5 linked regions of the Macaca fascicularis genome follow. The protein of the gene in region 3 interacts with the protein of the main gene of each other region in a biochemical or structural test. Links are inferred from orthologs where the notes say so. Each region holds a gene or a part of one and is shown on either strand. Other genes may lie near its edges.

Evidence for each region.
Region 1: of the proteins of ARF1 (region 3) and AGAP1, one has a biochemical effect on the other in vitro, tested with the Homo sapiens proteins (2 studies listed by BioGRID, with this or other methods). The link is inferred for Macaca fascicularis from reciprocal best matches to the Homo sapiens genes ARF1 and AGAP1.
Region 2: the proteins of ARF1 (region 3) and ARFGAP1 form a complex in vitro, tested with the Homo sapiens proteins (2 studies listed by BioGRID, with this or other methods). The link is inferred for Macaca fascicularis from reciprocal best matches to the Homo sapiens genes ARF1 and ARFGAP1.
Region 4: the proteins of ARF1 (region 3) and CYTH2 are reported together in a solved structure, tested with the Homo sapiens proteins (3 studies listed by BioGRID and IntAct, with this or other methods). The link is inferred for Macaca fascicularis from reciprocal best matches to the Homo sapiens genes ARF1 and CYTH2.
Region 5: the proteins of ARF1 (region 3) and PLD2 form a complex in vitro, tested with the Homo sapiens proteins (2 studies listed by BioGRID). The link is inferred for Macaca fascicularis from reciprocal best matches to the Homo sapiens genes ARF1 and PLD2.

The regions. Positions count from the first base shown.
Region 1 is NC_088386.1:131,579,946-131,585,807, reverse strand, and holds the start of AGAP1 (arf-GAP with GTPase, ANK repeat and PH domain-containing protein 1), read right to left. Parts: upstream 3,597-5,862; 5' UTR 3,495-3,596; coding exon 2,537-3,494; intron 1-2,536. UniProt on the Homo sapiens protein: GTPase-activating protein for ARF1 and, to a lesser extent, ARF5. Directly and specifically regulates the adapter protein 3 (AP-3)-dependent trafficking of proteins in the endosomal-lysosomal system.
Region 2 is NC_088384.1:119,392,876-119,398,059, forward strand, and holds part of ARFGAP1 (ADP-ribosylation factor GTPase-activating protein 1), read left to right. Parts: intron 1-277; coding exon 278-364; intron 365-941; coding exon 942-1,038; intron 1,039-3,426; coding exon 3,427-3,483; intron 3,484-5,029; coding exon 5,030-5,062; intron 5,063-5,184. UniProt on the Homo sapiens protein: GTPase-activating protein (GAP) for the ADP ribosylation factor 1 (ARF1). Involved in membrane trafficking and /or vesicle transport.
Region 3 is NC_088375.1:85,991,010-85,996,667, reverse strand, and holds the start of ARF1 (ADP-ribosylation factor 1), read right to left. Parts: upstream 3,676-5,658; 5' UTR 2,928-3,675; coding exon 2,866-2,927; intron 1-2,865. UniProt on the Homo sapiens protein: Small GTPase involved in protein trafficking between different compartments. Modulates vesicle budding and uncoating within the Golgi complex. In its GTP-bound form, triggers the recruitment of coatomer proteins to the Golgi membrane.
Region 4 is NC_088393.1:56,460,194-56,466,112, reverse strand, and holds the start of CYTH2 (cytohesin-2), read right to left. Parts: upstream 3,316-5,919; 5' UTR 3,150-3,315; coding exon 3,065-3,149; intron 2,760-3,064; coding exon 2,612-2,759; intron 2,510-2,611; coding exon 2,443-2,509; intron 462-2,442; coding exon 343-461; intron 1-342. UniProt on the Homo sapiens protein: Acts as a guanine-nucleotide exchange factor (GEF). Promotes guanine-nucleotide exchange on ARF1, ARF3 and ARF6. Activates ARF factors through replacement of GDP with GTP.
Region 5 is NC_088390.1:4,911,429-4,916,612, reverse strand, and holds part of PLD2 (phospholipase D2), read right to left. Parts: intron 4,933-5,184; coding exon 4,827-4,932; intron 4,736-4,826; coding exon 4,670-4,735; intron 4,539-4,669; coding exon 4,480-4,538; intron 4,341-4,479; coding exon 4,248-4,340; intron 4,155-4,247; coding exon 4,002-4,154; intron 3,222-4,001; coding exon 3,072-3,221; intron 1-3,071.

The sequences.
Region 1 (5,862 bases), on a different chromosome or scaffold from region 3:
AGCCCTGAACTCAGGGAGGCAACTGTTCTGCATTAGGGGGAAGAACTGGGAAGAGCCTAAATAGACAAGTTCCAACAAGGATCAGAGAGTACAAGAGAATCATCCTACAAAAGGTAGGTGTTCCAATCCTTTCATCCTTAACGCCTTGAGTTCAGAATACAGGCAAACCAAAGGCACACATATGTAGGAGCCCGTGTGTGCTTTAAAATAAGATTCCAGCCATCTTGCTTCCCTGTGCTAATGGAAATACCTTGCCTAAGCATTTAACGCTGGGAAGCCAAATAGACTATTTAATGCAATAATTACTTAGTCTTTAGTTTCCTGTAGCCAATTCAAAAATTTACTTAGCTGTTTTAAAGAAGATGGAAAGATTCTAACAGAAGGAAAACCTGCACAAGCTGATGTCATTTTTAATTTCCTTTATATTTTCAAGGACTCTAAATTTTAAACATTATGGCCAAGATGCAGAGAAAGCCAGTGGTGCTTCTCATGATGCTTATCATGTTGCAGATCTACGACAGTTTAGCTGTCAATCTAAAATCCAAAAAGGTCTGAGAATGGAAGGAACTTCTTTTCATAAATGGTTGGCAAATTATTTTGGTGGCAAAACCAGACTCTAACCTAACTGGCATGAGGCTATTTTTAATCACTATTTATTTCACTGAGTGTGGATATCTCAGGCTTTGCTGCAAAATACTAGTATGTTATTACAGGGCGCCACCCGACCTCACAGGCAGTGTTCTACAACACACACCATTTTACCTTCCTCAGATCCAAAATTTCCGAGTTCTACAAACTCACCTGTCCCCAGTGGTTTGGGGACTTGCATCCTATGGACATTTACAGGGAAACCAAGCTTGGGCTCTATTGCATCTGACTCTTACCTTACAGACTCTCATCTAAATTCAAAATCTTATACAGCACCTAAATTCTGAATAATTTATGTCACAGGAAGCAAACATGTAAAGACTGGAGAAGTGTAATAAAATGAGAGGTTGTGATACCTGTGGGGACTATAACTTTTACCTGTAATAGACACTGGTATCACCAAAATCCTAAGAATATTGATATTTCAGACATTTTAGCCAAAGGCAAAGAATTTATCCAGGTGAAACATGTAGCTTTTTTGAGTACGCGATTACTTAGAACTTCAGAAAAAAGTGAGGCCCTAGAGTTCTGACCATATGTGCTGTAATGTAGTTCATTAAATTTCCATTTTTCTATACAACTCACAATGCTACTAATATTATGTCTCAGACCAAAGTAATTCCACCCAGAGAAGGACTGACCACAAAGAACAAACTGAGCATTACTATAAACATTCCAACACACGTCACCCCCTTACTACTCCAAATCTACTATCAATCCATTTGACCAGAGAGGAACTACCCAAACCCCAAATGCTTTTAACTTGTATCAAGAGGGACCACAACGAAACGCATCCTCTCTAAATCATGTCTGTGCCTTTCTCTTTCTCGCTCTGATACAAACTCGTCTGGAACCAATGCAGCTAATTACTGTTTTCTTCAAAGTCCACAGAACAAAGATGCAAGCCTGCTATCAGAGAACTGGGACCTTCAGGTCTTAACTTCCTCTGAACGCCAATGATGACAGGAGCAACTTCGTGCAAACCAATTCTTTTAACAAAATAACACGCATTACTTTCTAATATTTTAAGAGAATACACGAAGGGAAGTTTCTGGAGGCTCTGACCCCCAAATGCTACCTACCAAAAGGTTAACTGATTCCTGCAGTGGAATACCATATCTGGCTGGAGATCCCTCCCTGCAAAGTCCCTGTCAGAGGACACAAGGGAACAGACACCTGAGGTTTCAGAACAGGCTGCAGGGCTGCAGTTTTCCTGCCCCTTTGCTAGCCTACATTACGAGGAAACAGATCCGGTCCCAGACTCGCTCTCCACGTTAAGATGCCACCTGGCAGGAAAGCTGCGGAGACAGGCCTCCGTCCCGCCCTGCGCCTCACCACTGTAGTGAAGTGTCCTCACAGCCAGCTCAATACCGAGGGCCACGGAGTCATCTGAGGCCCCACCACAGCATTCACAGATGGTAGCACCAACAGGGAGACGACTGCAGGCAGGGAGGGGGGCCAGGATGAATGCCGGCTTTTCCCACCCAGGCAGCGGCACCTGTGCGGGGGCGACCGGCGAGCCTCGGCTCCCTGGGGCGGCCTCACAGGTGTCACGGGCAGCCAGTTCAGGGCCCGCTCCCGCAGAAGGCCCAGCCAGAACGCGAGGGAGGTCGGCGCCGCCTGGCAAGGCGACCTGTCCCGGGTCAAGCTCTCCTTGATGAAGGTGGTGGACCCCGAGGGAAACTGGCACGCACAGCCAGGCGCAGGGGCAGCCAGAAAACGCAGGACCGCTGCGCCCTGCTGGGGAAAACCGCAGTACCCCAGTTCACTTCTCTCCAGGCCACGTGCCGGCTACCGACCCGGGAGGGCGGGTTCCATGGCCACTGTGGAGCCAGCAAGTCCCCACCACGCCCCTTCCCGTCCCGGGACCCCCGGCCACGCTGCCCACCTCTGCGCGGGGAGCCGTCGATGCTCTCGCCGCTGGACGAGTGCGCTTCGACTGGCGGCCGCCGCAGGCTGAAGTAGCCGCGCGGCCGCGAGGCTCCGCTCCGTGGGGAGGGCCCGCCGCCCGGGCCCCCATCCCTGCGCGCGAAGATGCCGCTGAAGAAGCGCAGCAGCCGGTGTTCCGAGGCCGCGCCGGCCCCGGCCGCCGCCCGCGCGCGCTCCAGCCGCTGCAGGTCGCTGTTGTCTAGCGTGCGGTTCTTGCTCTTACTGCGCTCCCAACGCTCCAGGTCCGATAGCGTGTCGTTCTTGCTGAGCACCTCGCCCACGTCCAGGGTGTTGCGCTTCTCCGAGGAGGGCTGCGTGGCGGCCGCGGGCTCCAGGGTGGCCCCGGCTGCGGCCTCGTCATCCGGCGCCCAGGCCAGGCTCCCGGAGCTGCTGTGGCGCCTCCCGCCGCCCAGTGTCCGGCCCTGCGGCGCCTCAGGCCCGCTCCAGTGCCTGAAGCTCAAGCTCCGCCGCAGGGGCGCGGCCCGGGCCCCCTCCACGTCGGGGCTGCCGGGCGCGGGCGAGCCTCGTCCCTCCTCCTCCGCCCGCCCGCTGCTGGCCAGGTCCGCGGGTTCCAGGCCGCGTGCGCACGGCCGGAGCCGCCCCAGCTCCAGCTGCCCGGTGCTGCGGGTGCGGAAGGTGCGGAAATCCCATGCGCGCGGCCGGCGACCCTCCGGTTCCTCCACACCCTCCGCCTCCTCGGCTTCCTCCTCTAGCCGCCCGGGCGCGTCCGGGGAGCGCGCGGGCCGGGGCCACCGAGCGGGGCGCGGGTCCGGGCCGCCAGAGCCCGGCGCGGCCAGCTGCTCTTTCCTGACCATGGTCACGGAGATGCGGTAGACGGTCTTTCTGGGAGGCGTCCCGCGCGGCATCGCGTCCGCGGGTGGCGACGCGGGCTCGCCGCTGCCGTCCAACAAGTACATGTCGCCCGCGCACTGGGGCCCCGCCGCATCCAGCGAGCCCGCGGGCTGGGAGGGCGCCGGGTCAGGCGAGGAGGGCAGGCGGTCCGGGAGTGTGGCCCACGCCCCCCGCTCGCCGCGAGGGCCGCACTCAGGCTGCGGGGAAGGCGCCCCTGGCACCCGCCGGCCCGTACGCCGCGCCGCCCGAGTGCCGGGGTCCGGGCCCGGGGCGCCGAGCCATGGGCCGGCAGGGCCAGGCGAGGCGGCCGGTCAGGCGCGAGAGCGCTCTCGCCGGCAGGTGCGGCCGCGGTGCGCAGGGCCCAGGGCGGGCGGCGGCGCCCGCGGCTTCATTGTCTACGACGCGGGGCCCGTGCGCATCCTCCCGCCCCGGCAGCACAGCTCGGCGGTTCCGCAGCCTCCGCCACTCCCTGGGCTCCGGGACGCGCGGACAGCTGCGCCGGCTGCGACCGAAGGGTGGCGGGTGGCGGGCGGCGGGCGGCGGGTGGCGGTTTAAAATGGAAACGCGCGCCGGGGCGGGGCGGGCGGCGGGGGCCGGCGTGCAGGGACCGCGGGCCGCGCGCCCAGCCGGGCTGGCGGAGTCCCGGGAGCGCGGTGGCGGCGGCGGCGAGCGCGGCGGCGTGCAGGCCCAAGCGCCGGGATGGATCGGCGCAGCGCGGACCGGAGCCTCGGGGGGCCTAGCCTAGCACCAGCCTGCACCCTAAAACCACGCACACTTTGGGGCTTGGCCTGCAAAAACAAAACTAGGGGCATATCTCACCTGCTGCGCGTTTATATGAGGCATCTTTCCTAACCATGCAGCCTCGAAGATGCAACTCATGTGACTCGTTTAAAAAACCAAGTATCTTTGGTACCTGTTACCCCCAACCTCACCTAGGAACAAGTGGGCTTCCAGGAAGACAAGAACAAAGAGATGTGACTGTGAGGGGAGGGTGCTGTTTACACCAATGCCCTGCCAATGAAGGGCCACAATCTGCCTCCTAACATAATTCTGTCTTGTTTTCATTTTCAATTAGCAATAATCTCACCCCAGATAAACTTCTATGGTACCATACACTACCATACCATATCATCCATACTCTGTGCAAAGCTTCTAAAACAATCTCGTAGGGTTATTTTACCAATGTCTGGGGAAAGATTCCTCACAGGTAAGCACTTACTCCCCATGACGACAGACTCCTAGGAAAATACTGTGGTTAAGAGCAAGAAGACAGACGTGCCTGCCCGCAAGCCAGGCTTATCCACTGACAAACCACCTGCTTTTCCACCTGTAAAATAGGAGCGCCGATAAAAGCTCCTAAACTTTGAGCATTCTTGTGAAGATTAAATTGATTAAAATCCTATGTACCAGGCATTCTGTGTACATGCTAAATATTCACCATTAATACTGAAAACTGAACGTCTCTTCCATCAAATCCCCCACTTCCTACCTGGTGGGCTGACAGATACTGGTCTTGGATATTATCCCAGGCCACACAATATTTAGACATAGGTGATCAACTTATCAGTTCCTCACGCTGTCTTAAACACAGATGTATTGTTTCAGAGTTTCCTTGATGAAAAAGTTTCAGAAGGAAAAATACAATGTCCCCTGATCACACTACATGCTTACACGACCTTCTCCAGACCTAGAAATGCTACAGCTTGCTACAGGCTGTTTCTGGGCAAGGTGCTGGTGGCCAGGCCAGGGGGAAGCATTACTTTGGGATATGCTATTTGCAGGCAGGGATTGTCAGGTGCCAACTTTCCCTACTTTAATCTTATTGTGGGGGTACCTATTGTGTTCACGGCACTGGAAGTGGCATAAAAATGAATTGGGCAAGCTCTCTTTTGAAGGAAGTTATAGAAGTTATAGCCTAGGAAATCTGGATTTTATGACAGTTTGAAATTTAATATTCAGATTTAATGAAATATATCAGAGTGCTAGGTGATTCACTTTATTTTTCTTGAAAGGATACTTTAAAATACACCTGACCACCCTCTGTGGCCTCGACCTCAACATGATTTTCACCATCATAGGGTCACACCTCAGCCTACCAGCTACTCAAACTTTAAAGGCTCTGGATGTGGTACCTCTTATTACGTCCTCATTGTAAGGAGGGGTTCCCAAGACAGAATCATTTTACCTTTTGAGTTTCAATAAAGAAGCCCTCTTTGATAAGAACCAAGAACCCCCAACTTCTAGAGTGGGAGCCAGGCGGGATTCATCTGTCAGAATGGTTCAGAATGATAGCCTAACGCCCATCTGGTTAGGGAGATGCAGAGGCTTGGAGACAAAGGGCACTTCCCCAGGACTACACAGCTCCTCAGTAAGGGTGAAATCTGGGGTTTGGGGGTCACACTGCCTGTGCTCATTTTTTTTTTGTCTTAGTAA
Region 2 (5,184 bases), on a different chromosome or scaffold from region 3:
GTCCTCTTGCCCCACCTCTCGCCTCTGCCTCCTGCTGACGGGGAGAGTGCAGAGCCCACTGCAGAGGCCTCTCGTGGTGCCCATGAGGCTGGCATTGCTGGGTTTCAGCACCTGAGCCTGAACATCCGCTCAGAGCTGAAGGCCACCCTGGCCTCAGGTGCTCTCGGGTGACGTGAAGGCGCTGCCCACATAGGCCACATGGTTCTGGGGGTGCTGCTGGGGTTCCCTCAGACTTCACCCAGTTTTGACCTCACCAGCCTTTGATTCTTGGTTTCAGAGCCTCTGGCCAGCTGCAGAGTGTGACCGCCTCCTCGGACAAGGCTTTCGAAGACTGGCTGAATGATGACCTCGGCTCCTATCAAGGGTAAAGACTTGAGAGCTGGGGATGCCTGGGGAAGGCCAGACCCACGGGGTTCAGTCTGCTGGGTAGGGCTGCTTCCCTCGGGGCCTCCCGTGTGCAGTGGGTGTGGGACCCGTACGTGCCGGTGCAGGGTCTGACTGCAGTGAGCCCCGGCTGCCCACCCGGGTGTGGATTGGGGGTCTTGGGTGTAGAGAAGAGCTAACACTTAGAAGAAAAGCATAACACATTTTCTGCTTGGAATTTGCTGGACCTATACGTGAATTTTTATCCCCAAAGCTGTCATATTAAGTTGTTTTGATCCTTCTTCCAGTACTTCTATGACTGGGTTTGGGGACTTGCTGGGGACCCTCTCTGGTGATGTGGCAGGAGGGTCTTTTTAAATGAGCAGGAAGCACGTCTGTCTGCTGCTGGGGAGCTGCCAAGGCTCCTGCTGCTACGGGAGGCAGCGTGCATGTCCTGTGCTGGGGGACGCTGGCACATCCCTCAGAGCCTCAGCCTCACCTCTGTTCAGGGCCCCACACCTTCAGGAGGAGCAGGGTTCACGCCAGCATCTTCAGCCTCTTGTCCGCTTTGTTTTCAGAGCCCAGGGGAATCGCTACGTGGGGTTTGGGAACACGCCACCGCCTCAGAAGAAAGAAGATGACTTCCTCAACAACGCCATGTCCTCCCTGTACTCGGTGAGGACTTGTGGGCCCTGCAGAGCATCTCCCATGGGCAGACCCGGACTGAGGGCACGCCGGGCTGTCGGGGGCAGTGTGGCAGTCCTGGAACACGTGCTCTTGGCCTTGCTGTGATCTAAGGACCCCTCCCTTACCTTCAGTGACGTTTTCTTGCAAAAATGTGGCTTAAATTTTTCAGATCCCAAATTCAGTCACTTCTTTTTTTTTAAAAGACGGAGTCTTGCTTTGTTGCCCAGGCTGCAGACTGGAGTGCGGTGGCGCATTCTGGCTCACTGCAACCTCTGCCTCCCAGGTTCAAGTGATTCTCCTGCCTCAGCCTCCTGAGTAGCTGGGATTATAGGCACCCACTATCACGTCCAGCTAATTTTTGTATTTTTAGTAGAGATGGGGTTTCACCAGGTTGGCCAGGTTGGTTTCAAATTCCTGACTTCTGATGATCTGTCCACCTCAGCCTCCCAAGGTGCTGGGATGACAGGAGTGAGCCACCGCACCCAACCAACACTTACTTACTTCTGACACAAAATGTGTGTATTTCAAATCTAACAGCGGACGTTCTTCCAAGGAACCCAAGGGCTCTGACGGCAGCCACTTGGCCGTGTTCTCTGCAGAGGGAGTGCTGTGTGCAGTGGGAAGCTGGCTCTGTGCTTGGGGGTCTGGCCGTGCTGGGAAGCCGCTCGGGCGCTACCCGAGGTCACTCAGGGCCACCTCTGGTCTGGGGGTGCCTGGAAGCTCCAGGTCAGATGTTCAGAGTAGGACACCCTGGGCTTGTTGCCATTTTCCTATTAACGGAAATACATGTTGTTTGATTTTCATTTTCCAAGGAAATTTTTACCTTCTTTAAAATGATTAAAAATGATTAAAATGATTAAAAAATGATTCTTGCAGGTGTGATGGCTCACGCCTGTAATCCCAGTACTTTGAGAGGTGGAGGCGGGCGGATCACCTGAGGTCAGGAGTTCGAGACCAGCCTGGCCAACATGGCGAAACCCCGTCTCTATTAAAAAATATAAAAATTAGCCAGGCAGGGTGGTATGTGCCTTGTAGCCCCAGCTACTAAGGAAGCTGAGGCAGGAGAATTGCTTGAACCTGGCAGGCAGAGGTTGCAGTGAGCCTAGATAGCACCATTGCACTCCAGCCTGGGCGACAGAGTACGACTCCGTGTCAAAAAAAAAGAAAGATTTTTATTCATCGCAGCATTATTGTCTGTGACACTAGCAACCTGAGACTCTGGCCACAGGGGCCGCGTGAATGGGAGCTTGCGCGGAGAGCCAAGGAAGGACTTGTTTATTTATTTATTTATTTATTTTGAGACGGGTCTTGCTCTGTTGCCAGGGCTGGAGTGCAGTGGCATATTTATAGCTCACTGCAGCCTTGAACCCTGGGTTCAAGCGATCCTTCCACCTGGGCCTCTTGAGTTGCTTAGCTTCCCAAAGTTCCAGTATTACAGGAACGAGCCACCATGCCTGGCCAGAAAGGATTTTTTAATACTAACATGACAAGATCTTCAAAGTATGTTAGCTAAAAATAAGCAGGTTTAAAACGGATGGCTTCATCTGCAAGGAGCCCTGCCATAGAGTCTTGGGAGCCCCCAGGTGTGTGTGGCTTCCAGTTGCTCGGGATGGCCTGGCTGCACCTCGGGCCACTGACGGCCATGGTTGCTTTCTCTTGCAGTCATTGCTGCGTCGTTAGGAAAGAAAAGTGCATTTTCCAGCCTGTGTGTGGCCCTTTTGCTGCCTTTTGCTGGGCATCTGCTTTCTGGGGAAGGCAGTTCAGCTTAGTGATCTCTCAAGTGAGGGTCCCTTTGTGTTTCCTTTAGGAGGAAGAGGATGAGTTGTGATTGAAATGAGACATTTATTTTTCTAAATAGCTTTAATTATCTCGGGAGACCCAGGAGGAAACCCTGAGCATAGATGAAGGAGAGCAGGTTACGGCGGTCATGACCCCACACGCCTCACCTTTTTCTGTTCCTCTGGGGAGGCAGGAGGAAGCGCCAGCCGTGGGGAGGAGAGCAGGTTAGAGCAGGTTACAGCAGTTGTGACCCCACATGCCTCACCTCTGCCTGTTCCTCTAGGGAGGCAGGAGGGAGCGCTGGCCCTGGGGAGGGGTCCTGCCCTGCAGTGTGGGCTTGCTGCTTGAGGGTGGTGGGATCCACAGGAGGCTGGATTGCACCGTGTTGGGAGCACTGCAGTTGGCGAGGTTGGGGTAGAGGGCGCGTGTCCGTTGTGCCCTGGGTCCATTTGTATTGCTCCAGCAGCCTGGCGAAGCAGGCGCTGTGGGGTCAGGACAGGGCAGGGGCCTGGTCCTCGTCCTTGCTGAGATGCTCTGCTCAGCGCCGGGTTCCTGGGTCCCAGTCCTGATGCAGCTGCTCTTTGTCGCCTTCCTCAGGGCTGGAGCAGCTTCACCACTGGAGCCAGCCGGTTTGCCTCAGCAGCCAAGGAGGGCGTAAGTCACTGTCCCCACCAGGCCCTCAGGACACCGGCCGCTTGCTGGTCTGTGGGGGCCGCTGCCTCTCAGAGCGTAGGAGGGGGCTGTTCCCGCCACGTTGCTCCCCTCCTCATGCCAGGGTGGCTGCCTCATGTACCCGCTCAGGGCCTGCGGGGCCAAACTCGTTTCCTGTTCACTGGTAACTGGTGCAGGTGTGCAGCCACTGCGCTGGCCACCTCGTTCTGGGAGCTGCAGAAGGGATGTGGGACACAGAGGGTTTCTGGGTGCTCCAACCATGGGCTGTGCCAACGCAGTACCAGCCAGGGTGGTCCCAAGGCCTTGGAGGTTCTGCAGGAACACAGCAGCCCAGGCTGTCAGGAGCCGCTCCTGTGTCAGACCAGCTGCTGGCAAAGGGGTCCCGCCCTGATGAAAGTGAGGGAGATGTGAGCCCCATTGATTCCTAGACTCCACCCTAACCAAGCAGGGCAGGTCTCGGGTGCCCTGTGCCCTAGAGCTTCTGGGGCTCAGGTCGTGTTTTGGTAGCATTTTCTCTCTTTCGCCGCTTCTCAACCTGAAACGGGAGGATTTGGGGCTTTCATCAGGGCAGACAGTGGAGCATTAGGCAGAGACCCAAGAGCAGGCCTGGCATCAGGATGGGGTGTGGGCCCCCGGGGGCTGGGCTGTGGTGTGAAAGGAGAAGGGGAAGCCCAGAGCAGGGCAGCTGGGTGCCTGCAGCTGCCCAGACAAGCAGCCAAGGCACCCAGTTTAGGGCTCTTATGAGCAGAAGTCACGGTGCGCGCCTGTCAGATGTCCCCATGGTCACCCTGGCCCCGTGGCTTCCCCAGTCACAGTGCGCACCTGTCAGAGGTCCCCGTGGTCACTCTGGCCCCGTGTCTTCCCTGGGAGAGGCAGGCCTGGGAGCACCCTGGAAGGGGCAGCAGGCCAGGTGTCCAGGCTCCAGCTCTCATGGCCCCGTGACTTTGCCAAGTGTGAGGTTCTGGTTCCCGCCAGGGCCTCCGTTTTGTGTCACCACGGGAGGGCTGCGGCCTGGGGAGGCCCAGGTACCTTCCAGCCAGTGTCACGGCTGGGCCTTTTCTCCTCCCCCAGAGCGTAAAAGTGACCGAGGTGGCTGGACTGTGCTTGGCATGGAGCTGCCCCCGCAGCGGGGTAGATGAGCCTGGGGCAGTGGCACCACCCATTGAAGACAGTGCTGGTGTGGCTTCCCCAGCCTGTCCTCTGCTCCAGCAGGTCCCCGCCCTGTCCTGAAGTCTGGAGGATGGGGTTGGCCCTGCTGTTCCCTGGCCTCGCACACTGCTCACATGTGCCCTCGCCCCAATAGCTTGCTGGGCTGGCCTCCCTCCAGGGAGAAGCCAGCATTTGTGCTAATCCAGGCCCCACTGCAGCTCTTCTGGGCATCTCAGAGTTATAGTCCCCCCACCTGAGAGCTGCTGGCAGCCCAGGGGCCATTGGGAGACAGTCCTGGACCTGAGTCTGTGGGCCCTGAGGAAGGAGGCCTGGCAGTCCGTGTTAAAGACCGTCAAGCCTTGTCTGTTTTTCATTGTAGGCTACAAAGTTTGGATCCCAAGCAAGTCAGAAGGTAACAGAGGAGAAGCTTCTGAACTATCCTGAGTCTCTGACGTCACGTGCAGCGCCTGAAGCTGCCTGGTTCCCTCTTCTCAGGCCACACGCTCAGAGCGCAGGAGGGGCTGTGCCCACCAT
Region 3 (5,658 bases):
GAGGGAAGAGACACGGAGCTACCTTGCCCTCCTGGGCGTGCCACCCTCCAGGAACCTCCATGAATTCAGCTTTCTGGAAGCTCTCTGAAAGCCCAGGCAGGCCTTTTGGGTATTTCCCATCAACAAGGAATTTCATGCTATTTCAGAATTGTACTTAAGTGTGGTTCAGTCTGAACATTCCTTTGTACAAATGTGGAAACACGGGGCTGTAGATGCTGTTAACTACTGAAGGCAAAAGTGTGGCTTCATGATATTAGTGTGATTGATTAAATTATTGGCTACTGGTGACCAGCTCAATCTTCAGTCCCTCTCCACTCTGGGGAAATTGGAGGGTGGGGCTGAAACCCTCTAATCCTACCTTGGCCCCGTGACTAGCCCTACCCTGAAGTTTCGTAGGGGCTGCCCGTCACTGGTCAACTCATTAGGGTACAAAAAGACATCATCACTTTGGAGATTCCAAGTATTTTAGTAGTTGTATGGCAGGAAATGGGAGGCAGGCCAGATATGTATTTTGCAATCCACAACTACAGACTTCTAACTTCCTGAAATGTTCATGGACTGAATCAAGTCTCCCGTTCACTTCATGCTGTACACTAACAGTGAGCCCTGGGCCTCCGGGGTGTGGGAGAACGTCTGCCTTCTAAACAGAATCATTCCCAATTGCTGTGCCTGTGAAAATCTGCCTTTTATGCTTTCCCTGTCTCTTCTCTTGATGTCATTTAGGCTTTTCCTGTTATCAGGGCCTGTAAGAAGCACCACCTTTCCCAGTCTGTTGGCTGACAACCGGCTGCAAGCCCTTGTTACCACTGTGTGAGAACCAGGAAACCAGGATTAGTCAAGGACATTATGGCTAATCAGCCAGCCTTACTGTCTTCTCATCCCTGTAGATGGTTGAGTGACAGGACCCTGGGGGAGGACCTGAGAGCCTCTTGGGAACAAAAAACATCCAGGACATGTCTGTCAAGTTGCTAACAAGGTCATCTGACCCACCTGAGAATGTGAAACTACCTTCCAAGACGGTGCTGGGCACCTGCACAGCTGTAAGGTGATAAGTGCAACTATGCCTTAAAGAGTTTATAACAACCACAGGAAAATACGAACCTGAGGATGAGGGCAAATCCTGGAATCCCAACATGAAGGGGCTAAACCTTTTCCAAAAGACCACTTCAGATGCTACAGGCAGGATACCCCTACCAACCAACCACACCAATGAGGAGCAGGCACAACACAGAAAACACAAGTTCTCATAATTTAAGATCCCCACTGCAAGGCCTTTTCCTGTTTCTCTCCCAATTACCTCTGACAGTGCACTCTACTTCCTTTCACCCTCTTGAGTTTACCGAGGTGAAAGGTCAGGGGGAGAGGACAGAATGCCTATGAGAGACAGTATGGGCCTGCCAGCCCAGGCTGGCTGCAGCCTCTTGCTCAAGAGAATGGTCACAGCTCAGGAAGAAGTGTGTACAAAAGCTTGGTGAGCATGGCCTGTGAGTAAGAGCTGGTTTAAATACACCAATGAGACATTTAATTTGAAGAATCTAGAAAAAACTGCTTCAACTCTCTGAAACCACAGTCATATACTTTGCGTGTGAACTTGCACAACAGGTTTTTTTCTCTTAGTTAGGTCTACTTCTATGATCACTGCAGCAGCTGACAGTCCATATTAAATTTTACTGAAGTGAAAAATGAAAGGCCAAATGCATCTTCGAAGCTATGGTTTCAAGCCTGTCCAGTCTGTAGGGGCAGATGAGCAGGTGAAGATGTCTGAATGTCCTCTCCATATTGTGCAAGAGGTACAGCGCATAGCTAGACTACATGATGTACAAAATCAGAACTGTGAGGGGCACAGAACCAGTTTTTGCTTTTCACTCACAGTCATTCTGTGACTCAGCTGTTGTCCAAACCAACTGTTTCAAATCTTTTTCAACTAGCAAATCTGAAAAACTGCCTGACAGGCAACAGCATATTCCTACTGCTGCAATGATTTGGATTTATTTTCAACAAGATACACCTAAAGACAAGTGACAGATATTCTCCGGTCTACCAACATGTGAAAACGTGGACAACACACCTCTAACAATGTGGCCAATCAGATGTGTATACTAACATTTATACTACTCAATTCTTCTCAATTTTGGACCCAGCTAATAGTACGGCATTTCAGGACCTTATGGTTCTGGCTACCTTGGTAGTGCTGGTGAAAATTCAAATTAAATGAGGACATCATCCATGCAGTCACACGTGTTAGACAATGGCTAACGCAAAAGCAGAGGGCCACAGGGGCCGCACACAACCGCACCTCGGCATCTCACACTCCTCCCAACACACTGCGGAAAACGACAGAACCACCAGCCTTGCAACAACCGGCGGCAGAGAAAACTGCTGACCACTAGTTCTGAAACAAGAAATACAACTGCCCACTCCAATAGGGGCAGTGGCACCAACTCTACAGCTCTAAACTAGGCGGCGACTTCGGGGACCATCCAAAGACTCCGACCTCCCTTCTTTTTCTGCCCGCGATTCCGAGCGCATTTCTGCTCAATTCCTGCAAAGCAGCAACTGGCTGCCTGGACGGAAAGGGAGTCCGCCAGGAGGTGCCGTCGGAATGGTTATCTAACACTCTAGGTGCGCACGGCTGTCCAGACCCAATCTCACAAGCCGTAACCACCCAGGCTGTGCCCCGAGAGAGCGCTGGGGCCGGCCTCTGCGGCCTAGAGTCTACGAGCAGGTCGTTCCGCAGGCAAGTTAAAGATTCACCAGCTCAAAAGAGGCCTTCTTATCTACTGCCGACAACGTCAAGGAAACCACCCTGGAGTTAAAGCGAACATCGACCGGCCCTCTGGAAGCCACCGGAGACTTCATACTGACCCCAAATCGCGTCTCACTGTTGTGAAGGGAGGCACTCTGGGCTTCCCCGGAGGTCCACGCATTCCGTTCAGCAGACAGGGAAAGGCGCAGGGTCCCTGTCCACTGCCCGCCCGCTCGCTCTCACCGCCCCTGACCCAGTGCCTTCCTCAGAGGAAACACGAACTGGATGGAGTCGGGAGGCGAAGGTGCAAGCCCCCACCACCTACGTGACCTTGACGGTGTCTTGGGGCCGCCTGAGCCTCAGTTTCCCGGTCCCCGAGGCAGCGGTCCGCCCGGATGCCGCTCGCTAGCCTGTACTCGGGTGGAGGAGGCCCCACAACCCCCACCGGCCCCCGAGACCGCTAACCCCAACTCTCCACGCGCGGGCGGCCTCGGGAAACGTGAGGGGCAGAGGTAAGGGAAGCAGGAAGCCCAGGTTTCCTGGAGAAGAGCCTGGCGTCCCGGCTGACTTCCGGGCGACGGGCGGGGGCAGGGACTGGCAGAGGAGGACAAGGGGCCGCGGGCGACTCCGGGAACCTGTGAGGGGCGCGAGGAGCTCACCGACCCGCCCGCCCTCCCAGCCCCGACTCCCCAGCCTCAGCCCGGCCCGTCCTCGTCCGCCCCCGGCCCGGCCCTGTCGCCGCCGCCGCCGCCGGGATCGAGGTGCCCTTCGCGAACCTCAAGTCGCCCCGAGGCCAGTCCCCAGACCCCGCCGGCTCCAACTTGTGTGCGGCCCACACCGACCCGCGCCCCTCGCCCTCACCTCAGAAGCTGCTGCTTCGAGCCAGGCGTTGGTTTCGCTCCCACAAGATGGCGGCTCTGACGGCGGCCACGTCAGCGCCTGCGGGCGCGGGGAACGTCGGGTAAGAGGCGGAGACGCCGGGAGCTCCGCCCCCCGTGCGCCCGCGACGCAGACGCGCTGGCTCCAGAAGGGCTGCAGGGGGCGGGGCCGGGGACACCCAGCCCCGGGCCGAGGTCCTAGCTCGCGCGCGCCTTAGGGGTGCGCACCCGTCTGCGCCTGCGCCTGTGAGTCTTCCGAAAAGACACCTTGTGGCTGCCACACGCCCGTTTGGCAGATTCGGAGACTGAGGCCCGGGGGGCTGCTGCAGCAACTGGAGCGGCGGGGCCGGGTTGCCACCCTCCTCCTCCCCGACCCGGCAGTCACCGCGAGCCCTCGGGGACCGCGTGAGGACTGGGGTGCGAGGCGCCCCTTCGCTGGGATTGGGGTCCCTGGCTCCCAGGCTGCGCGGGTCCGTGTGCCCCGGCCCTGTGGAAACCTGTGGCACTCGCGGGGCCTCGGCGGAAGGTCCGAAGGAGGGAGGCCTGCTATGTCCCCGCACTGGCCTCGGCGCCCCGGCGGCCGCAGTGACTCGCGCGGGCTCATGCCTGGGCTCATGCCGGGGAGTTGGCTACAGATGAAGCAAAGGAGGAGGTGGCCTGGGGACCCCGGGGGGAGGCCGGGGCTGTGGGGGTGGTGCCCAGAAGGGAGGTCACAGCGGTCTCTAATGAGCTGGCCTTTCAGCTGAGATCCAGTTGAGGCGGAGGAGACCCCGCTCCCAGGAAGCCCTCCTGGATTGGTCAGAAGGGAACAGAGGCCTGGCTCTGCCCACCACCCTCAGGTCTTCTTGCCTCTTCCCTTGTGCAGCTGTGAGGGATTGGGCTTGTGGGAGAGCGTCCGTGCAGCACAGTTCTCTGGGTATTCTGGAGGTCGGGAATCAACCTGATTTGTCCAGGGGGAGGCCCGGGGGCAGGGCCTGAGGGGTGGGGTCACTGGGCCTGGCCCAGGCCTCCTGCGCCCCTTTGCTGCCGCCATCACCTACCTTGCTTGCCCCTTGGGCAGGGCATCCTCACTGCCACTGCAGGCTGCGATAGTCGGAGTTCTCCCCCAGGGCTGCACCTGCGGGGGCTTCGAAGGACCCCAGAAGTGGTGACCCTCCTGCCCCCAAATTCAGTCCCTTTTTCTGCCTGGGGCTCCCCTCTGAAATCTCACCTCTGTGAAGCTGCGGCAGGTTGTCTGTTTAGGGGAAGGATGTCTCCCTCCCACCCTACAGGCATCTCAGATACTCTTGGAAAGCCCCAGGGAGGGGTGTGGATGCCTGTGGAGCCTTCTGATTGTGCTGCCTCTCCCGCTCAGCCAGAACTGGGCCATGCTCGGACATTTCATGGGCGATACATGTGGTTATGGCCACTTTAGGGCTGAAGGGACCTGGCTTTGGTTCTCTGATGGCAGAGCATGGCCAGGGGTGGCTCCAGTGTCACTGAGTGGGGATTGTGTGGGAACCAGAGCCTGCTTCCCCTTCCTTTAAAATACTCTATTTTTTTTTTTCTTTTTTTGAGATGGAATCTTGCTCTGTCGCCCATACTGGAGTGCAGTGACACAATCTTGGCTCACTGCAATCTCCGCCTCCTGGGTTCAAGCAATTCTGCTGCCTCAGCCTCCCAAGTAGCTGGGATTGCAGGCGCCTGCCCCTACGCCCAACTAATTTTTGTATTTTTAGTGGAGACAGGGTTTCACCATGTTGGCCATGGCTGGTCTCGAACTCCTGATCTCAGGTGATCCACCCGCCTTGGCCTCCCAAAGTGCTGGGATTACAGGTGTGAGCCCCCGTGCCTGGCCCCTTTAAAATATTTTATTTTAAATGTGAAAAAATGCAGACAGGAAAGAGTGTATGTCAGATACATGCACAGTTTAAAAAGTAATAAAATGGATTTCTGTATACACAGCCCTAGGGTTAAGAAATGTACCTTCCCCAGCCTGGGCAACATGATGAGACCCCATCTCTACAAAAATTTTACAAAGATAGCCAGGTATGG
Region 4 (5,919 bases), on a different chromosome or scaffold from region 3:
ACCCAGTGCCCATGCACAGCCATGGTCTACCCCTGTTCTCATGCTCCCATGACCCTTGAGAGATGCTCTCCACCCTTCTCAGATATAAATGGATGCTTCCCCACAACCCCCAGGTAATTCCAGAAGGCCCCGCATCCCCAGATGCTCTCGGGTGGCCGCAGGCTCCCCTAGCCCGTGTCCGTCCATTCTGTCACAGTCCAGTCAGAAGACGCATCTGCCAGGGCCTCTCTGTGGGGAGGCTGCAGGGCTGTTCCACCTGCGAGCTGCCGGTGTGAGGGCAGGAGCTGGGCGCAGGTAGCGGGAGGGGCGGGCCCCACAGGAGCTGAGTGGTGGTGGCCGTACCTCTCCCCCAGGTAGTCCCCGATGGCTGTCTTGTTCAGCCCCTCGCCCTTGTACAGGAAGCGGGCAATCTCCTCGGGTGTGTTCTGCAGCAGTTCGTTCTCCACCAAGAACTGGATCCCCTGGTGAGTGGGGACAAGGTCTCAGTGCTGAGAGCCAGAAAGCCACCCCCCTCACCTCCCTGGGAACCTCAGCATCCAGACCTACCCCCACCCTCAACAGACCAGGGCCAGGTTTCACTTTCAGCCTTCTCAAGGGTCTTAAATAGGATTCTTCCCAACTCATGGCCTTTGCACCTCATGGCCTACCCTCTCTGCCTTTGCCTGGTTAATTCCAGCACCAACAACAGGGTCTGGCAAGGAGCAGGTGCTCAGTACATGTTCTTTTCTTTCTGAGACCTGGTCTCGCTCTACTGCACAGGTTGGAGTGCAGTGGCGTGATCACAGCTCACTGCAGCTTCGAACCGCTGGGCTCAAGGGATCCTCTCCCTTCGGCCTCCTGAGAAGCTGGGACTATAGGCATGTACCAATACACCTGGATAATTTATTTATTTTTATTTTTTCTAGAGATGAGTTATCACTATGCTGCCCACGCTGGTCTCAAATTCCTGCCTTCAAGCAATCCTCCTGCCTAGGCCTGTCAAAGCACTGGGATTACAGGCATAAGCCACGGAACCCAGCCAATAAATGTGTTTTGAATGACTGAACAGAATTCCAACTGCTTCAGGAAAGAATAACGTGACAACCTTGAGCAGACGCAGTCCCTCAAGGGCTGTGAACTCCAAGCCTTTGCTAGACTGGAGGCTTCTCTCGCTCTCTGTGCTATGAAGCCCTCTCTACTGCTGCCATATCTCACTCTGAATTGGGGTATCCATGTCCAGGGGCTGAGCACAGGGCAGCATCTAATTCTTCTTTGGGTCCCCAGCATTGCCCTACACAGGATCAGGCTCTCAAGAGGCCTCAGAAAATGGGTGTTAAAGGCTGGGCACGGTGGCTCACGCCTGTAATCCCAGCACTTTGGGAGGCCAAGGCGGGCGGATTACGAGGTCAGGAGATCGAGACCATCCTGGTTAACTCGGTGAAACCCCGTCTCTACTAAAAAAAAATACAAAAAATTAGGCAGGCGTGGCGGCGGGCACCTATAGTCCCAGCTACTCAGGAGGCTGAGGCAGGAGAATGGCGTGAACCCAAAAGGCAGAGCTTGCAGTGAGCTGAGATTGCTCCATGGCACTTCAGCCTGGGCGACAGAGTGAGACTCTGTCTCAAAAAAAAAAAAAAAAAAAGAACGGGTGTTAAATGAGTATGTGAACAGGCCGGACATGGTGGCTCATGCCTGTAATCCCAGCACTTTGGGAGGCTGAGGTGGGCAGATCATCTGAGGTCAGGAGTTTGAAATCAGCCTGGCCAACATGGTGAAACCCCATCTTTACTAAAAATACATAAATTAGTTGGGCATGGTGGCGGGAGTCTGTAAGCCCAGCTACTTGGGAGGCTGAGGCAGGAGAATCGCTTGAACATGGGATGGGGAGGTTACAGTGAGCCGAGATCACATCACTGCACTCCAGTCTGGGTGACAGAGCAAGACTCTGTCTCACAAAAAAAAAAAAAAAAAAAGTAAGTGAACAAAAGCCATTCCTCCACCTAGTGAACACCTACTCATCCTTCAAACCCGACCTGAATGTCTCCTCCTCAAGGAAGCCCTCCCTGACTCCACCAGCCTGCCTCCTCCAGAAATCTACTACCCTGATACCTCCCTCTGTCATGGCACCTTTGCAGGAGGGAGGTCAACTCTCCTTTGTGCATATCACTTTGTCTACAGCCCTACAAGACTCGAGCTCATCTTGGCACTAGAAGTGCGCCCATACAAGTAGAAAGTGGAAGACAACCTTCAGGGCAGGGGACGAAACATAAGCGTCAGGAGGCCTGGAACACTTGGTCAGTGTTCAGAGAACAAATGGACAGCCAGTATCTGAATCCAGGGATTAGGACCAAGTCTGTCCACCTAGAATAGACCCGGAACCATCACGCTTCTGGAACCCGGAGGTGCCAGAAGCCCCTGCCCGGATGTTTGCCCAGCGGATCCCAGTCCTGTGGCCCCAAGCACCTTCTTGGGGTCCATGTTGAACTTCTTCCTGCCCATTGCCATCTTCCGGTTCCGCTGCAAGGTCTTACTGCAGGAGCAGAGAGCAGGGTGGGGGATGGGGGGTCAATGCCTGGGCATTCCTGGCCTCAGTCAACCCCACGCCCCCCAGGTCACCCGCCCCAGCCCTCACCTGCCCTCATTGGCCTCCAGCCCCTCCACCTCGCTCATGGCTTCACTGAGCTCCTCCCGCAGGCGCTGAATCTCCACCAGCAGCTCCTGCTTCCGCCGCCGGATGTTCTCCAGCTCCATCCGCTCCTCTGGAGTCAGGTCTGGGGGTTCTAGGGGTCGGGGTCACGGTTTAAAAGTCAGTGCTGGGGACCATGAGCCTGAATTCCTGCAATCTGGGGGCGGACAGAGCTGGGAGAGGATGCATAAGGGCCTTCCATGTCTGCACAGAAGACTGCGCTGGGGGCCTGGATTCCTCCGTGCAGAGAAGGGCCGGGGCTCTAAACTCTTGAGTCCTGGGGGGAGGAGGGGACTTGGGGCCCGGATTCCAGAGTCTGAAGGAGAAGGGGAATAGGTGCCTGAGCTCTTAGGTGTGAGGGAAGAAAGGGTTGGGGGCCTGAGCTTCTAGGTCCATTACTTGGAAGGGGACTGAGGCCTTGGTTTTCTGACTCCATTACTGGCGAGGTAGCTGGGGACCTGGTTATCCGGACTCCTGGGTCCATGAACAGTCACTACGGCCGCGGGAGCTGATGACAGCTCGGGAGAGTTGGGAAGACGGGGCGGGACATCGAAGGCCCCCGCCCCCCAAGATTTCTCCCCTCCCCGCAACCCGAGCGCCCCTCCCCGGCCCCGGCAGACGCTGGGCTTGCCCGCCCCTCCAGCGGGAATGGTTCCGCCCCGGCCTCGCCTCCACCGCTCCATCCCGCCCCTCCCGCCGCCACCGGAAACAGGATCAGCCCAAACAATGGCCTGGAACGCCCCGCTTTCGGGCCCCGCCGGAAGCCCGTCCAGCGCCCCACAAAAGCGGCGCGACAAGTCTACTACTGGGCCGAAAGCTTCTGGGCTGCGCGCTCCAGGGGGAAACGTTCGCGGCGGAACGTTCAGGAGAAAACGCTCCAGCAGCTCCCAGCCGACCCCGCCCCTCCCCGACCTACCATAGACGCCGTCCTCCATGGCGGCTAGGAAGGCCCGCGGGGAGTCCGGGGCGGTCCCGCCGGTCGGGCCTGGATCCGCGTTGGCCCGCGGGCTCGGGTGAGCCCGCTCAAACGCCCCGGGAGCCACCGCCGCCTCCTCAGCGCCAGACCTCAGCGCTGAAAAGACTCTCCCTTGGTCGCCCAACCGCCCCTTCAGTAGGGACCGCCCCTCTTTTTGACACCGTCCAATCCACAGTGGGCGCTTTAGTCCTCCCCGCCCTCGCCACCAAAGGATCGTCTTCCAGGGCCAACAGTCGTACAAAAAGCTGATGTCGGTATGTCCGGCCAGAGGTAGACGGCCCGCGGGGCCAATCGGAGTGCAGGCAGGGCAGCAGGCCCCGCCTCCGAAACAACAGAAAGCACTTGACAGGCTTGCTCTCCAATGGGAAGCCCCAGAAAGGTGTTGCGCGGAGGCGGACCTACGCGGTACAGACATCTCTGCGCCTGCTCAAAGGCCCTGGACACTTGGAGACTAAGTAAACCGAACCCCGCCTCCAATAATCCGTTGCTAGGGGGCGGTACTTGGTTAATCTTGTTGCCAGGAGGCGGGGCTAGAACTGGCTTGTTTCCGTAAGCCACACCTCCTAGCAGGCCATGCTGGCTTCTGACTGCAGAGGTTGCCATGCAACCGGGAGCAGCCTTCGGCCTCCTTTTTATTTGCTTTTCTTCTCCGTGTATTTCCCCTCTCAGTCCCTTCTTACCTCCAAACCCTTTCCTTACGACCATCTATGCCCTCCCCATCCCCCTCAGCCTCTTCGGAGTCGTGGAGTGGTGAAACGAAAGACTTCTTCGGAAGGTTTTTTCTTTTTCTTTTTTTTTGAGACAGAGTCTTGCTCTGCCGCCCAAGCTGGAGTGCAGTTGCGCGATCTCGGTTCACTGCAACCTCCGCCTCCGGGTTCAAGCGATTCTCCTGCCTCAACCTCCCGAGTAGCTGGGATTACAGGCATGCACCATCACGCCCAGCTAATTTTTGTATTTTTAATGGAGACGGGGTTTCACCATGTTGGCCAGGCTGGTTTCAAACTCCTAACCTAAAGTGATTCACCCACCTTGACCTCCCAAAGTGTTGGGATTACAGGCGTGAGCCTTCGCGCCTGGCCAAGATTTACTCTTTTTTCTAAATGCTATGCTATCTGGTATCGGTCATGGAGAATGGAAGAGGGGAAGATCAAATTTCGTGAAAGCACAGGCTCAGCCTTCCTGGTACCTTCTGCCGCTCAGACTCCTCCCTCATTTCTCCAAACTTCTCCCCTTAGCTTAGCATCCTCCTAAGACTCCTCCCTTCCCCAAGCATCCTCCCGCTAAGACAACTCCCCTTTCCTCAGCGTCCTCCCACCTCTGATTCCTTCTCCCATCTCAGAAGCCTTTTCTTCCTCCCTGGCTCCCCTCACGTCCCCCCTTGTCCTCTCATACTATGGCCCTTCTTTTTTTTTTTTTTTTTTTTTTTTTTTTTTTTTTTTTTGAGACTGAATTTTGCTCTTTTGCCCAGCCTGGAGTGATCTGGCATGATCTCAGCCCACTGCAACCTCCTCCCCCAAAGGTTCAAGCGATTCTCCTGCCTCAGCCTCCCAAGTAGCTGGGATTACGGGCGCCCACCACCATGCCCGGCTAATTTTTGTATTTTTAGTAAAGACAGGGTTTCGCCATGTTGGCCAGGCTGGTCTCAAACTCCTGACCTCAGGTGATCCACCTGCCTCAGCCTCCCAAAATGCTAGGATTATAGGCGAGCCACCATACCTGGCCAACCTTGCCCTTCTTAAACTCCTCCCTCCTCTGAGGCCCCTTCCCCTTCCCCAGCCTCTAGGTCCCATTATTTGTAAGGGAATGGGATTAAAGGCTTGGCTGGAATGGGGAACCCAGGCACCCCTGTAAAGAGCGAAGCCATAATGGGGGCTGAAGTGGTGTCTGGGCCTCGTCCTCATTTTCTGTCCCTGGGCTGGGCAGGTGGGGACGGATTCGGGGCCAGGACCTGGTTAAGCTGCCGGATTAGACATGGAGGCTTCTAATCCCCTCATTGACCTTTATGAGTGGCCCAGGCCCTGCCCTCCCCAGTGGAAACCCAGGCTGGGCTGCCCTGCTCCCACTCTCCTTCCAAACAAAAGCCCCTCCCTGCCCCTTCACTTCCAACTTAACATCCTTCCCCAACCTTGCATTTCCATTGCCCCCGTCCCTACCTACCCCAGACACCCTGAGCTGAGAGAGCAGCCAGCTAATTAATCCCATCCGGTTATTACATGGGGATTCCGAGGGATAAAGGGAAATGGAGAAGCTGGATGGGGGCATTTGGGTTGATGCAGCA
Region 5 (5,184 bases), on a different chromosome or scaffold from region 3:
GCGGTATCAGACATATCAAAATAGTGTTTGCCCATATACGCTAAATACAAATAAAAATTACAAAAAGACACAATAACCTAATCAACTAAAGAATGGGGGGATTACTACATCATACATAAAGAACACCAATAAGTCGACAAGAAAAAGTCACATGAGCCAACGGAAAAATGAGCAAATCGTAAGAACTGACAGTTCACAGAGAAATTAAAATGGCCAGTTGTGGCAAATGATGTTCTGTTTCACTAGTAAACGAAGAAGTTAAAATGAAATTACATTGAAAATATCCATTAGATGGGTAATAATTAAAATCATTAGTAACATTCAATATCAGCATATTAGCATATCAGAATGTTATTCAATATGCTGGGGAATATTCAGTATGCTGGGGAAGTGGGTATTCTCATAGACTACGGGAATATAACTTTTAGGAGACAATTTGGCAGTATCAAAAAAGAAAAAAAAAAATATATATATATAGCTTTTTTGAGATGGTGTCCGGTTCTGTCACCCAGGCTGGAGTGCAATGGCACGATCTTGGCTCACTGCAACCTCCGCCTCTTGGGTTCAAGTAATTTTCCTGTCTCAGCCTCCCAAGTAACTGAAATTACAGGTACCCGCCACCATGCCTGGCTGATTTTTGTATTTTTAGTAGAGACGGTTTTTGCCATGTTGGCCAGGCTGGTCTTGAACTCCTGACCCCAGTGATCTACCCGCCTCGGCCTCCCAAAGTGCTGGGATTACAGGCATGAGCCACAGCGACTGGCCAGCAGTTATCAAAATATTAAATGCACATAGCCTTTAATATCATTAAATATGCACAGTAATTTTACATCTAGGAATACAACCTACACAATGCTTAGGCAAAGATCATGTTCATCGCATTGTGTGTAAGAATGAAAAATGGGAAATAATCTAAGTATCTAATCTCTCACACATGTATTAAGTGAAAAAATAAGTCACAGAAGAGGGTGCATGATCTCATTTATGTTGAAACAAAAGTAACACATGCCTGCACATGTGAAAATATGTAGGAAGGCCAGGCGAGGTGGCTCATGCCTGTAATCCCAGCACTTTGGGAGGCCAAAGCGGGTGGATCACTTAAGGTCAGGAGTTCATGACCAGCCTGGCCAACATGGTGAAATCCCATCTGTACTAAAAATACGAAAATTAACTGAGCATGGTGGTGCATGCCCGTAATCCCAGCTATTCAGGAGGCTGGAGGCAGGAGAATCGCTTGAACCCGGGGGGCAGAGACTGCAGTAAGCCGGTATCATGCCACTGCACTCCAGCCTGGGCGACAGAGCCAGACTCCATCTCAAAAAAAAAAAAAAAAAAAGGCCGGGCGCGGTGGCTCAAGCCTGTAATCCCAGCACTTTGGGAGGCCGAGACGGGCGGATCACGAGGTCAGGAGATCGAGACCATCCTGGCTAACACGGTGAAACCCTGTCTCTACTAAAAAATACAAAAAACTAGCCAGGCGCTGTGACGGGCACCTGTAGTCCCAGCTACTCGGGAGGCTGAGGCAGGAGAACGGCGTGAACCCGGGAGGCGGAGCTTGCAGTGAGCTGAGATCCGGCCACTGCACTCCAGCCTGGGCGACAGAGCGAGACTCCGTCTCAAAAAAAAAAAAAAAAAACCCAACCAAACAAACAAAAACAACCTCCGTCCATGACTGCCCTGTGCCTGTGATATTAGCACACGGGAGCCTGTGAGATCAGCTGCCACTGACTCCCAGCCTCTCCTCTGACTGCTCCTCCTCACTCAGTAACAACAATATGTCCTGGTGGTTCCCAAACGCCCTGAGCTATTTCTGTCTTCTCTGCCTGGACTGTTCTGCATTTTCTTTATCTCGTATAGTTGCATGAGGATCAGCAAGTGTACGCTGTTCCCATGCAATCACCAGTCCTATCAAAATATAGGACATTTTCATCGTCCTGGAATGTTCCCTCGTGTGCCCCGTTTGATTGCCCAGACAATCTTTGCCCCGTACCCTGCCACAGGCAACTGCTGATCTGATTTCCATCGCTGTGGATCGGTTTTGGCTGTTTTAGAAGTTTATAGCCGGGCGCGGCGGCTCACGCCTGTAATCCCAGCACTTTGGGAGGCCAAGGCAGGTGGATCACAAGGTCAGGAGCTCGAGACCAGCCTGGCTAACACGGTGAAACCCCGTCTCTACTAAAAAATACAAAAAACTAGCCGGGTGAGTTGGCGGGCGCCTGTAGTCCCAGCTACTTGGGAGGCTGAGGCAGAAGAATGGCGTGAACCCGGGAGGCGGAGCTTGCAGTGAGCTGAGATCTGGCCACTGCACTCCAGCCCGGGCGACAGAGCGACACTCCGTCTCAAAAAAAAAAAAAGAAGTTTATAGCCGGGCGCGGTGAGCTGAGATCAATAGAGCAAAACTCTCAAAAAAAAAAAAAAAAAAAAAAAAAAGGAAAATGTTTGTTAAATGAAGGACTAAATCAGATTTGAGAAGATCATAGAGAACAGAGAGGGTCAGTATGGTACAGGGGGGTTTAAAAAGTTACAGGAGGTTACAGACGTCAAGGGTCAGAAGAGATGACCAAGTCTGAGGGTCAGAAAGGTCAGAGCGAAATCAGAGAGATCAATGTGGTTAAAGATATCAAAGATCAAGAAGATTAAGGGCCGGGCGCGGTGGCTCAAGCCTGTAATCCCAGCACTTTGGGAGGCCGAGACGGGCGGATCACGAGTTCAGGAGATCGAGACCATCCTGGCTAACACGGTGAAACCCCGTCTCTACTAAAATACAAAAAAAACTAGCCGGGCGAGGTGGCGGGCGCCTGTACTCCCAGCTACTCGGGAGGCTGAGGCAGGAGAATGGCGTGAACCCGGGAGGCGGGGCTTGCAGTGAGCTGAGATCCGGCCATTGCACTCCAGACTGGGCAACAGAGCGAGACTCCGTCTCAAAAAAAAAAAAAAAAAAAAAAAAGAAGATTAAGGAAGTCACAGGGTGGATCGCTGAGGTCAGAAGGGTTCAGAGGAGATAAAAGAGAGGGTGAAGGACTCAGAGACAGGGGGTCAAGAAGGCCACAGAAGGGATGTCAGTGTCTCACCACCGGGCCAAGGTCCCAGGCCGGGATGGGGCGTAGCTGTCATGCTGGTGCAGGTGTAGGAAGTCTCTGCCTGGGCCCCGTGCCAGCTCAGTGATCTCTTGGGCCCACCACCGTGCCTGCCGGTAGCTGCTGCACTTGAGAATCAAGGACCTGGATGGGAACGATGAGATGGACCATAAATCCTCGCCCTCCATACATATGATCTTGCCCAGAGACCTCCCCTTTCTTTCTCACTTCCTCCCTTGGTCCCTAATCACAACTCCACAGAGACAGGGCGTGTATGTATCTGCCTTATTTGTTTATTTATTTTTGAGACAGAGTTTAGCTCTTGTCCCCCAGGTTGGAATGCAGTGGTGCGATCTCTGCTTACTGCAACCTCTGCACCCTGGCTTCAAGCGATTCTCCTGCCTCAGGCTCCCCAATAGCTGGGATTACAGGCCAGCACCACCACGCCTGGCTAATTTTTGCATTTTTAGTAGAGACAGGGTTTTACCATGTTGGTCAGGCTGATCTCGAACTCCTGACCTCAGGTGATCCGCCCGCCTCGGCCTCCCGAAGTGCTGGGATTACAGGCATGAGAAACCATGCCTGGCCGTATCCACCTTACTCACAGTTGGAGCCTAGTATTGTATCAGCAACCAGTATTGTACCAGGCACTCAGGTTTGTTGAATGAACAAATGAACAAATGGAATTTCCTTTATGTCAGCAGTTCCTTTCCTGGGCTTCTACTAATCCCCTTTCTCTGGGCCCAGTCTCTAAGAGCAGTCCCAAGCATCTGGCTAGACCAGTTCCCTGGTTCAAAACTATGTCCGGATCCCGGGAGGTGGAACAGCCTTCCTCTCTACTGTGGTCTCTCTTACTCAACCCCCAGCAGGGCTGCAGGCTGGCTCACCACTCAGCCGGTGTCTCTCACCCCAGGGAGGCCTCACCTGTGGGAGGTGTCGATCCGCACTCCGTACCGTGCCTCCGTGCTCCTTTTCCCCACCTGCACCTCAAAGCCGGGGTCAAAGAGCTGAACAAATGAGATGGCACCCGTCTCGAGGCACATGTACAGCAGGAAGGAGTCCTTCACCACCAGCCACCTAGAGCAGAAGGGCTCCCTGTGTTCCTCTCTGCCCTCGAAATTTTATTCCTCACCCCCACCCACTGCCCAGCTGCTGGGCCATAGCCCTTACCTCTTGGACCAGCGATAACAAACTTGGTCTCGGCCACAGCAGGTGAGGCCAGGAACGCGGTGGCCACCTGAGCGCTTCCGGATCGTCCCCTCCCTGTGGGGCAATCAGGAAGAGAGGCTGGATGAGGACTCCAGACCCCCAGCCCACCCTGCACTGCTTGCCCCATTCTCAGGCAGGGAGAAATTAAGAGGGATGTCTACAGATGCCTGGGTGAAGGGGGCCAGACACTCACAGCCCTTTGCAGCCCAGGTCTGGGATAAAGGACAGCTGACTGACTTCCAGGAATTCTGTCTGCAGAGGAAAACAAAAGGCCAGAGGAGATACCTGGCTTTCAGCTCCTCAGACCCTGGGGCCCCTGGCCCTCCTCCCCCTGAGGGTCTGATGATCCTGCTCCACATCTAAAATCAGCTCCTGGACCTTACCAAGGCATGGTAGTTGCGATAGAAAGACATGGTCAAGAGGCGGTTGAGGTAATTCTCCAGGTATTTCTAAAGTGGAGATGAGAGAGAAAAAGACAGATGGGACCAGAGTCATTTGCACATCCAATGCCTTCCCAGAGGACCTGGCATCTGGTCCCACCTGTTTGCTGGCTGCATGTCTGGTAGAGCCCTCAGGACCTGCCCGGGGTAGAGAGGGCATCTCTCTGTTGGCTGCATCTTGGGCTGGAGAATAGGCAACGGCAAAACTGTGGAAAGGATGGATGAGGTTCAGGTAAGAGCTGGGAGGCTGGGTGCTCTGGTTCCTGAAAACACTGGAGATGGGGCTTGGAGGAAAAGAAGAGGCCTGGAGGTGGCCAGGTGTGGTGGCTCATGCCTGGAATCCCGGCACTTGGGGAGGCTGCAGCAGGTGGATCACTTGAGCTCAGGAATTTAAGACCAGCCTGGGCAACACAACAGCACCCCATCTCTACAAAATATACAAAAATTAGTTGGGTGTG